Linked DNA regions of Arabidopsis thaliana. The protein of the gene in region 2 interacts with the protein of the main gene of each other region in a pairwise test. Each region holds a gene or a part of one and is shown on either strand. Other genes may lie near its edges.

Evidence for each region. The genes of interacting proteins can lie anywhere in the genome.
Region 1: the proteins of AT5G47530 (region 2) and AT3G26370 interact in a protein complementation assay, tested with the Arabidopsis thaliana proteins (one large-scale study listed by BioGRID).

Annotation. Positions count from the first base shown.
Region 1 is NC_003074.8:9,654,856-9,660,557, reverse strand, and holds AT3G26370 (O-fucosyltransferase family protein), read right to left. Parts: upstream 3,879-5,702; 5' UTR 3,673-3,878; coding exon 3,364-3,672; intron 3,189-3,363; coding exon 3,138-3,188; intron 3,046-3,137; coding exon 2,955-3,045; intron 2,785-2,954; coding exon 2,708-2,784; intron 2,584-2,707; coding exon 2,495-2,583; intron 2,402-2,494; coding exon 2,282-2,401; intron 2,107-2,281; coding exon 1,990-2,106; intron 1,894-1,989; coding exon 1,750-1,893; intron 1,662-1,749; coding exon 1,538-1,661; coding exon of another isoform or gene 1,475-1,537; exon of another isoform or gene 1,450-1,474; coding exon 1,258-1,449; intron 1,177-1,257; coding exon 817-1,176; 3' UTR 613-816; downstream 1-612. Other genes in the region: AT3G26380 (Melibiase family protein), read right to left, coding at 1-5, 90-243, 339-418; AT3G26360 (Ribosomal protein S21 family protein), read left to right, coding at 4,185-4,480, 4,586-4,595. UniProt on the Arabidopsis thaliana protein: Glycosyltransferase involved in the biosynthesis of pectic type-II arabinogalactans.
Region 2 is NC_003076.8:19,279,555-19,283,700, reverse strand, and holds AT5G47530 (Auxin-responsive family protein), read right to left. Parts: upstream 2,328-4,146; 5' UTR 2,231-2,327; coding exon 1,604-2,230; intron 1,475-1,603; coding exon 1,220-1,474; intron 1,137-1,219; coding exon 831-1,136; 3' UTR 640-830; downstream 1-639. Other genes in the region: AT5G47540 (Mo25 family protein), read left to right, coding at 30-74, 164-266, 360-436. UniProt on the Arabidopsis thaliana protein: May act as a catecholamine-responsive trans-membrane electron transporter.

The DNA.
Region 1 (5,702 bases), on a different chromosome or scaffold from region 2:
ACATACTGTATCCAAATCAACACACACAAACACAAGCAATTAAAAACCTAAACTTTTACATTCTAAAGGATAAAGAAACTCACAATTACCTGATAACCATGAGGAAGAAGACGCTTAGAAACAATTTCAGCACTCTGCAAGAACTCAGCTTCAGAGATAGTCCAACAAAAGGAATCGTACGAATTCCATCCTCTTGGAGGAAAGCTAGCATGTTGTTGCCTCGACCTTGCTTCAATCGATAAACTGAAAAAGACGAAACTTTTGTGATTGATCGATCACTCAAACACCACCCACTCAAAAACCAAAATCAAATTCAAAAACCCAGTGAAGCGGAGTACCTAAAAATGGATAGATTAAAGATGATGAAGAAGACAGTGGACCGGGTCGACCCGGTTTTCTCTACGGATAGTCCGGTCATAGAGATGAGAACTGATTACGATAGCTTCTGATTTTGTTTTCCTCTTTTGTTGTTGAGAACCTGAGAGTAAGAGAGAAGACAACACGCAATGGTTGTGTTAATGGCGGGTACTATTAGAGAGCGTGACAAAAAATTAAGAATTGGATTAGTAACCGTTGAGCTAATTTTCTTTTAATTAAAGTTTAGTGCATCAATTTGATCAAATTTAATATAAAAAAGAAACTTTTTTTTCATCACTAGGAACTTTACATAATATCAAAATGATTACAAAGATGGTAAATGAAGACTTCAAAGATTTGAAAGGTCAAAAAAGAAGAAGAAGAAGAAGAAAACTACGAATCTCTATAGTTTGTTGCTCCTCATCAGACAAAATCCAAGACCAAACAAAAGCATCATCATCAAGCTTTACACATGCATGGAGTGAGAGGATTTTCCCAAAGATCATAGTTAGGGAAAGTTTCTTCAGGTAAACCGGTTCGTGTTTGATGGGTTACAACTACATCTTCCACAAAAGTTGCCCATCCCATGTAAGGATCCCCAAATGATTTCGACATCAACCCTTTATCCGGTTTGATTGATTTCTGGCGATGCCCCATATATCTACGCGCTCCGATGATCAGTTTTGCAAAGTTTCCACCGTGTGTCATCACAAATACATCTGATTTCAAGCACACCAAGAAATCTAGAGCCGCAAGACTTGTAACGTGTTTTCTAAACGTTGTTAGTTCCTCTTTGCCTGCTAAATCCTCCTTTGTTACCTGATTCAAAGGACAGTTAATGTGAGAGACAAGTTTGTGCTGATTCATCAAAGAATTATAAGAGTCCGGTGTTGTGCTTACCAAATTTGGGAACATGTTTCTTAGTGGAGCCATACGGTTTTGACCGCCATAGACTTGACCAGATGCAACATAGATTTGTGTTTCTTTTGGATAGCCCATTGCACGTAGGATCACAGCAACTTCTCCTGGCTCAAGAGGGCATCGACCTTCTTTGCGCTTCTGCAAGGCGAGCTGCCAGAGATGGGAACCATTCTGCAATATATGTCAAGAAATTTCATTAAGGTAGCGGTTGAGGTTGTTTAGCCACCAAAAGAAGTTGACAACTGCTTATAAATGTCACCTTGAAACGCCGAGGCCATTCCTTTTGTCTGTATTCTGCCATTTTAACTTTCTCTTCCCTTGTCCCCACAAAATCACAGAACGATAGACCAACCATTCCTTTCTCGAATCTAAGATGAAGAGCCCTATACAAGAGACATGGGTATAGTTTTAAGTTGATATAATGCATATGGTCCTAAGTTATAACAAAGTCGAATCTCTGATATGGCATACATATATGGATTTGGATTTCCAGTGCGATTTCTCATTCTAGAAACAAGTGAATCAGCCATCTGCTCTATCTCTGGAAGAAATTTGAGAGCATGATAATTTACACGGCATCGTAATCTGTTGATTTCTTGAGGTACATTGTCATACCTGAAAAAATTTCCAGCATCACAAGAATAAATCATTCATTGTTTATAAGACGATTTCCAAAATCTGAGCACTAAACTATAGGAATATTGGTTATACCCAAGTCGATCGACAAAAGGCTTCAAGGCCATTATCTTCTTCTCCTTTATCCGAGGTAAAACATTGTCAATATAAAATTGGGCTGCTGCATATTTGGGAATGTTTTTGACTGTTCTTCTGCAGAAGATAAATAAATAACTTGGTCAACATCATATCTGATTAAAAAATACAGATCGATTTTTAAATCAGAGATATACACAAGGAGCACCCAGTGACGCCATAATTCCACAAGCTAACTTTTGAAATCGTCCAACAAGTACATCATCAACAAATAATGAGTTGACAAGCAAACCTTATACTAGAGAATAGCTCTGCTTTGTCAGTGAACCAGTCAGGTATGTCTCGAACAATTCGGACATCATCCTTCAAGTAATCAATGAAATGATCTACATCAAAAATGTCTTCAAATTTTCTGCAAAAGAAAGTTAACAAGCTCAGTAAACCAAAAAGAAAATAGAGAAGTAATTCAAGATGAAATGAAATCAATATCTGAATATGATTTTACGTTGTGTCTTTCCATATTTGGTCCTGCTTCAGTACTGGTAGAATCAGTGTTGCATTCATAATCTTGGCAACAGCTACTGCGTTGCAGATCTGGAAACAAAAGGGCATGAATTCAAGATTGGACGATGGCAAGAAGAACAACAGCCATTTAGACATTGATCCATGATTGGATAATGGCGAGAAGAAAAAGAGATAAAAGTTGGAAGATACATACAGCAATTCGCTGCTGATTCAAACCACCTTCAGCATGAATGAATACATAGCCATTTGTTTCATTCTCAGGAGGAAGATCTGAAAAAAACAGTTGACACAATCTAATAAGCTAACCAAGGAAAAAGACTTGAACTTTCACGAAAAGACAGATCAATAACACATGACAATGTGTTTCGACGAAAAAAAAAAAATAAAAAAAAAAAATAACACATGACAATGAAAATGACAATGCTCTAGCCCTTCAATACCTGAGATTCCACCAATCCGCCGCTCAGCACAAGGCTTCCAAGAAGTTGTTGCAGATAAAGGATTCTCCCAAGGAGAAGGTGACTCTTTTACCTTACAAATGCAAACCAACACACAATTAAATTTACAGGATTCAAAGCTTATGCATTCAACAAAACACATAACCAAAGTTTTCAAACACTTACATGAGGACAGTTTAGCACAATCCCATCTTTTTTACATAAATAAGGAGCATTCTGCAGAAGATAGACATAGAAGCAATCTTAGTCTGAGAACAATGTCAATCCAAATCCACCTAAATAAACAAACCCCTTTACTCAAAACAAAGCTAAATACTTTTCCAAATCGATTCCACAGTTAGAACATAGAGCCTTGAAGATCTCAATTCCTAGATCGAAGGAAGAGACTTACCAAGTGATTAATAATCCCATAAACTGAGATCAAGCTAGCAATAGCGAGAATCAAAATCAATAGAAGCGAGATTTTATTCTTCTGAGGAGAAACCCTAGGATCATCACCGAAGAAAGGAAACAAAGAGTGAAACCAGATCGGACGGTCTCGATCTCTAGAAGGATGACGTGGGCGACCATCTTCGTCGTCTCCGCCGTTAGGAGAGTGATCGTGTACATGAGGCGATGAAGAATCCTCATCTCCGGCGGCACGTAACGGAGAAGAAGAAGATCGGCTACCGAGAGAGCTCGAGTGCCGTAACTCTGCCATTGCTCGCCTCGGACTAAAAGTCGCCAGCTTAATTTCTATATCCTCTCTTCCTTTTCTTCCTCTTCACTTTCTCTGTAGATAGATACAGTGCTTCTTCAGCTCTACTATGTGGACGCTGCCATTTGAGAGAGAGCTTGGAGATTCGAACACTCCACAGAGAGAGAGAGAAATTAAAGAAGCTTTTTTTTTTTGAAAGGCTTGAATGTTCTTCTTTAAAGTCAATACTCTCTGAATCAAACAGAAGATTAGATTTAAGGATATTTACAAAAACATCCCTATATCTCATAAAACTTACATAACCACCCCTATATTAGTAAATTCTCTGGTTTTTATCTCATTTCCTCCATCGCCTCTTTTTTAACCTAGACATTCTCCATCATCACTCAAATTGGCTCTTTGATTCTCTCCGGCGAGATTCCGACCGGTAAGTCGAATTCAGATCCTATCACTGTCTCTCGTCAATCTCATTTACGTTTTCAGAAACATACTTTTTCAGAAAACAAGTAAAAGAGATGAACACGATAGCGAAGCGAGTTACGGGGTTGGTGACTCGTCCGAGTCTAAACCAGCAGTTGCAGCAAGAGCGAGGGATAAGAGTGAAGGTGTTCTCCAATGATTTAGACAAGGCACTGACGATTTTGCAGAAGAAGATGCAATCGAGTGGAATGGAGAGGCTGATCAAAGGGACTCAGACTCATCACATTAAGAATTCGGAGAAGAAGGTTCTCGCTAGGAAGAATCTTGAACGCAGAATCAAATCCATTGACTTTGCTCGAAAACTCCAATCAATCCTCATCAAGAAAGTCAGGTAATGTTTTCTGATTTTTCTCAAAAGCTTCACATTTTTTAGGGTTTTAATGGTGTTGTTTAGTTTAGTAAGATCTTGCGTATTTCTTATTGTTATTCTTTGCAGAGGTTTATGAGAGCTGAGGTGAAGCAAGAGTGCTGCTATGTTGATCAGTACTAGTATCTGTGTGTGATATAACACAGTTTTACATTTTGAACTTTTGATGAGTTGAATCAATGTGGAATTGGAATTTTGGATTTGATTAGTTGTTTACTCTATGGCTTCTCTTTCGTAAGTTTTCAATGATCTTGAGAAAGAACATCAGATCTTAGGAGTACATGTATTGAAAGTTGTTTCAGGGCAAGTGCGTTGCTTCTCCTGCACTCTGTATGACTGTGTTCTGTGGGTCTCTGTGCTTGAATTGTGTTTCTTGTTCCGGCCATGATTACTCTGAGATTGTTCTGCTTTCTTCGCGTGTAAAGCGTAGGTTAGCTCTTTCCAGGCGTTTACACTTTCATTTTATGTATATTCATGTTACTATATACCATGCCATGCCAAAGAATGGGGATAAGAGATATAGGAAGAACAATTGCACCGAAGATCGTGGAAAATACCTTTTGTATGGGTTTAGTTTTCAGTTTGCTTCCAGCTTTTTTACTAGTATCTGTTTGGTCAGGCTCGATTGGTAGTTGTCTTTGTCAACGTTTGCAGTAACCGGCATTGCAGAGTTGGTTTCATGTTTGATGCTGCAGAAATTGAGCAGAGAACAGAGTATCTACCTGCAGAAGCAACGTGTTTCGCATCAGATTTGCGCTAACTAATCTGCGGCCTTCTTGATCTATGGGAGACATATCTTAACATGTTCATAGTTTACTGACATATTCGACAAGTTTTCGTAAGTTGCTCTGAGAATCAACATCTTTCCCCTGGAGTGAGCTGAAGTAGAAAGATTGACATATTCATGACTGTTACTGTAAGTCCTTAACCCTGTCTCTCCTAAAATCGAGATCTTTTTATTTGGGTTTTAGATAAATTGGACCGAGTAATTACAATTTTCTTAAAAAAACTTTTGAATGAGAAAAAGATACAGAGAATGTTTTTATACTTTTTCATGAGATTAGAAACTGATTTTAATTTTAGTGCAAGGAATCTACAACAAAGATTACTTGCTTCGTGCTATCACTTTCCTTCTTTATTTTGTTTTCTACAACAAAGAATCCTTACTTGAACTTGTCACCAAGTT
Region 2 (4,146 bases):
GGAAATAAACTCAATCGCTTGAATTACAGGAGTCAAGCAAGAGTATCCAAATAGAAGCATTCCATGTCTTTAAGGTACCTACATTAACGAGATGTAACATAATGATGATTGTCACTTGTCAGTCCAACGTGATTGTACTGAGATTATCGTCACTGTTGTGCAGCTGTTTGCAGCGAACCAAAACAAGCCTGCGGATATAGTCAACATTCTGGTGGCCAACAGAAGCAAGCTTCTGAGATTGTTGGCTGATTTGAAACCAGACAAAGGTATGAAACTAATCTTGTTAAGTGAAACGCTTGTATCCGATCCTTCTGCTCCTTAACCTTATTAAAGCATTGTTTGGTTCATTTGGTTGACAGAGGATGAGAGGTTTGAAGCAGACAAAAGTCAGGTTTTGAGAGAAATCGCAGCCCTTGAACCTCGAGATCTTGCTTGAACCAACTAATGCAATTCATCCTTCCTTCCCTTTTAAAACACTCGAAAAGACATTTTTGAAGCATCTTGTTGTTTTTTTACATTAGGTAACCAATCTTCCTCTCACTTTCTCACCACACACACACACACACACACACACACACACACACATACACATACGAGATATCTATTCGATATATGTATTCATATGTACACTACTTCACTGTCGATGAAATAAAATGGTTTGTCAAAAGCTCACATCATGAATGTTGTAAAAGAGCACAAGAGTCTTTCAACTTCAACAACTATTAAACATCAAATGTATTAACTTAATCTCGAAAACAAACAAAAATTAACAACCACAAGCCCATAATGACCAAATAAACCAGAACATTTTACTCTAATCTTTACAGAGTCTACACGTATAGAGACCGACCATCGTTGCCTACTCGTTGACTTGTTTTCGCAGATGCCTCTGCTTTCCCTCTCTTTATGACTACATACCAAGTAAACCCTTCGAGCACAACCGCGACTATACCTAGTACTACGATTATGGCGGTGTAAGCGTTTCTCCACTGCTTCTCAGGGCTCAGGATGTCTAGTCCTTTAAAAACGTTTACCACCGCAAGAATGATCACTGAATAGCCTACAGTGTGGTGATAAATGTTCCAGTAGACTCTGTACTTGTGCTCTGGTTTGGGTCTCAAAAACATTGCAAACACCTAACGTGTGAAACAAGCAACTTAGTAATTGCAACATATTCATGACAAGTGTAATACTCTCTGTACTGTTAACTAAAACCTACCTGAATTGTTGCGAGGCAGAAGAGAGCGATCCCAACAGCACGGTGAAAGGTAAACTGAATCCCGGCTGATTCGTTGCCCAGTTTGAGACCGGTCGCCCAACCGGCAACACCAATGATGTAAGCAGAAGACTGGCAGAAAACATGAAGGTAGAACCAAGCAGGATCTGCTGATTTTGAGACTTTCAAGTAGCGAGCAATGATTGCTCCTATTGGCATCATTATACCCCAGCTCACACCGTTCAATATTCCATGTATCTGCAATAATGATTAGGAGTGATAAGTTTCATAAAACCAACTAACAATGATGGGATTGATAAATCTCATTTCATATGTGAGATTCCTAAAAAACATGAAATGAAGAAATTGATAAAACCATGGACTCACGTTGCGTTTGCGTAGCTTGGAAGCTCCTCCTGCTCCGGTAGAGGTGGATCCAGATGCACCAGAGACAAGGTTAAGAGTAGAAACAGAACGAACATTGTTGCCAGAAGTTGGATGAGGCAGAGGATTGTTCCCTGACAGTGACCCATCTTGCCACACAGTGTTAATGATTCCACCATTCGCAAGTGGAAGATTCAGAATTGCGTAGATGACCATCTCGTTGTTTTGGTAAGTGGCAGACAACTGAGAGACGTTGAAACTCAGCTCAGCTTCTAGGAGACTCGTTTGGTAGCTACTGATGGGTGACGTATAAGCCCTAACGGTGCCGTCTGATTGTGGATAAGCCACAATGGCTTGAGCTCCGACCATGCCAGTAGATGTGGGATTCACGGCCCATGCCACCCATTTCCCGGGGGTGAGCTTTGTGTGGCGATACGCGATTTGGAGATTGCCTGAAGAAGAATCGTAAGTGTAGTGGAGGAAGGAATCAAGAACAGGTAGGTCGTTGCAAGACTCAAAGAGACGGTTGGTGGAGAATTTGTAGTTGGAACATTTCTGAGCCAAGGCGGATTTGGTGATGATGAAAATGAAAAGAGAGAGACAAAGGAGAAGATTTGAGGATATGGCCATGGAAACAGAATCTCGAGTAATGATTAAAAGATGGATGAATGATAAGATTTAAGTATGAAGGGGAAGAGAGGAGAATGAGATTAAGTATGAATAGAAAGTGGAACAAGTAGGGTTTGGTTTGTTAGTTAATCTGTCTTAATACAGAATCTCTAATTCTCTTCACACGTGTCCTTTTTTCATAGTTTAATCTTTCTTTTAATCCTCTGCTTTTGTTCTTGTTCATCTATCAATTGCAATGTTTTACCTAAGAGTAAAAAATAGAAACATTATAAATGAAGCGTTCATTGTTTTCCCAAAAAGGTTTGACGTGTAATGTATTTCTTCCTTAAGAGTCTTTAACCCTCTCAAGCAAAAACCAAGAAATAAAAATATGAAGGGGTCATCTTCACGTTCAAAAACCAGTTCACACCAACTTTATTACGAGAACTCATTTCTCGTGTTTATTTTTTCTTTGTTTGTCATGAAAAATCTTTTTCATTGTATATAGGTTTTGTCATGACATTGCGCGTTAAGTTAGATTATAATCTTGGTACGCTTGGGAATTGGGATGATGATAAATTATTGAGCACACTAAAATATTAGGTTTCATTGGGTTTAGTGGTTCAATTGACGAAAGTAGACTAGCGAAGGGAGTAGTGGTTTTCGCGTAATAAAGGGCAAACACGTCTATGCCTGCAACTACTAACGTTGTGCATGTATGATGTACCCTAAGTAAACATCTACCACCTTATGAGTATGGACTGGAGCGGACCAGACCAACAAACTGTTTATGAGAGATTCCAATCCAAGGGAAGTGGTTGGGTTTAGCTATTTTTAGAGTTATGTTCTTCTATATATAGGCCGCGACCAACATTTCAACGGTTAAGACCATGTACATGAGTGATATTTTTAGAATATCATCAGTGTAAAAATTATTTTTTTATTAACCAAACAATTAGAATGAGTTTGATTAGTATCATTCCAGTGATTTTCTTGATATCAGTATCATCTACGTGACATCTCCTGATTGGTAGCATTTATTAAAAGTAAGAAAAAAAATATTTATCTATTAAACAAACATTATAAATAATACTAAAATTTTTTTAATGATACTTTGAGAATATCACCTATAAGCATGCTCTAACCAGGTGGATGTATAATAATGTCCTTTCTTGGTCAACGCTCAAATTACTACCTGCCACATGTCCCCCACTAGATTCTTTGGTGTAGCTGGGCTCAGTTTGAACTAGACTCTTTTATATGGGCTTAAGTGTTAATTATCAAAAAACAACCCAAAATGAGATATTTAGATATAATATGTTTTTGATGGAAAAAAAGGAAAGATATAATATGTTTTTTTGATGAATGAAAAGTATTACAATTATTCAAAAAATCACTAGTTTCCTGAAAAACAATACAAATTGCATAGTTTCAGAAGGATAATCTGATTTGGGTAGAGTTTGTTGATGTTAGAAATATAAATATTTTCTTTTATAAATAAAATAGGATGGAAAATCCATCATATTTGAAAGTTTTGTTGTGTCTAATAAATAACAGTAGAGTGTACATAATCGGTAACTTTTTTTTCCTTAACTAAAATTTTAAGTGAAACTAAAACAAAGGTGGTAAAAAAAAGTAGAGCCTATGGTAAAATAGGGTAAGAGGGTCCATAAGGGCCCAAGATGTTTTATTTTTGCTGAGCCCATTATTACCAATCCGAACCGAAATGGAAAAACTCCGGTCTCTTTCTTTCTCTCTCTCTCTGCCAGAGTTACTGCGTGTCTTTGATTTCCCAGAAGAAGGCGTTGAATCCTTTCGTTTTCCGATTCCATTTTTGGGATCTCTTGTTTCGTTTTCTTCTCTTTGGATCCATTCCATTCCCATGTTCCCCAATTTCTTTAATCGGTGTTGCTTCCACAAGGTAATTTTGTTTTCCT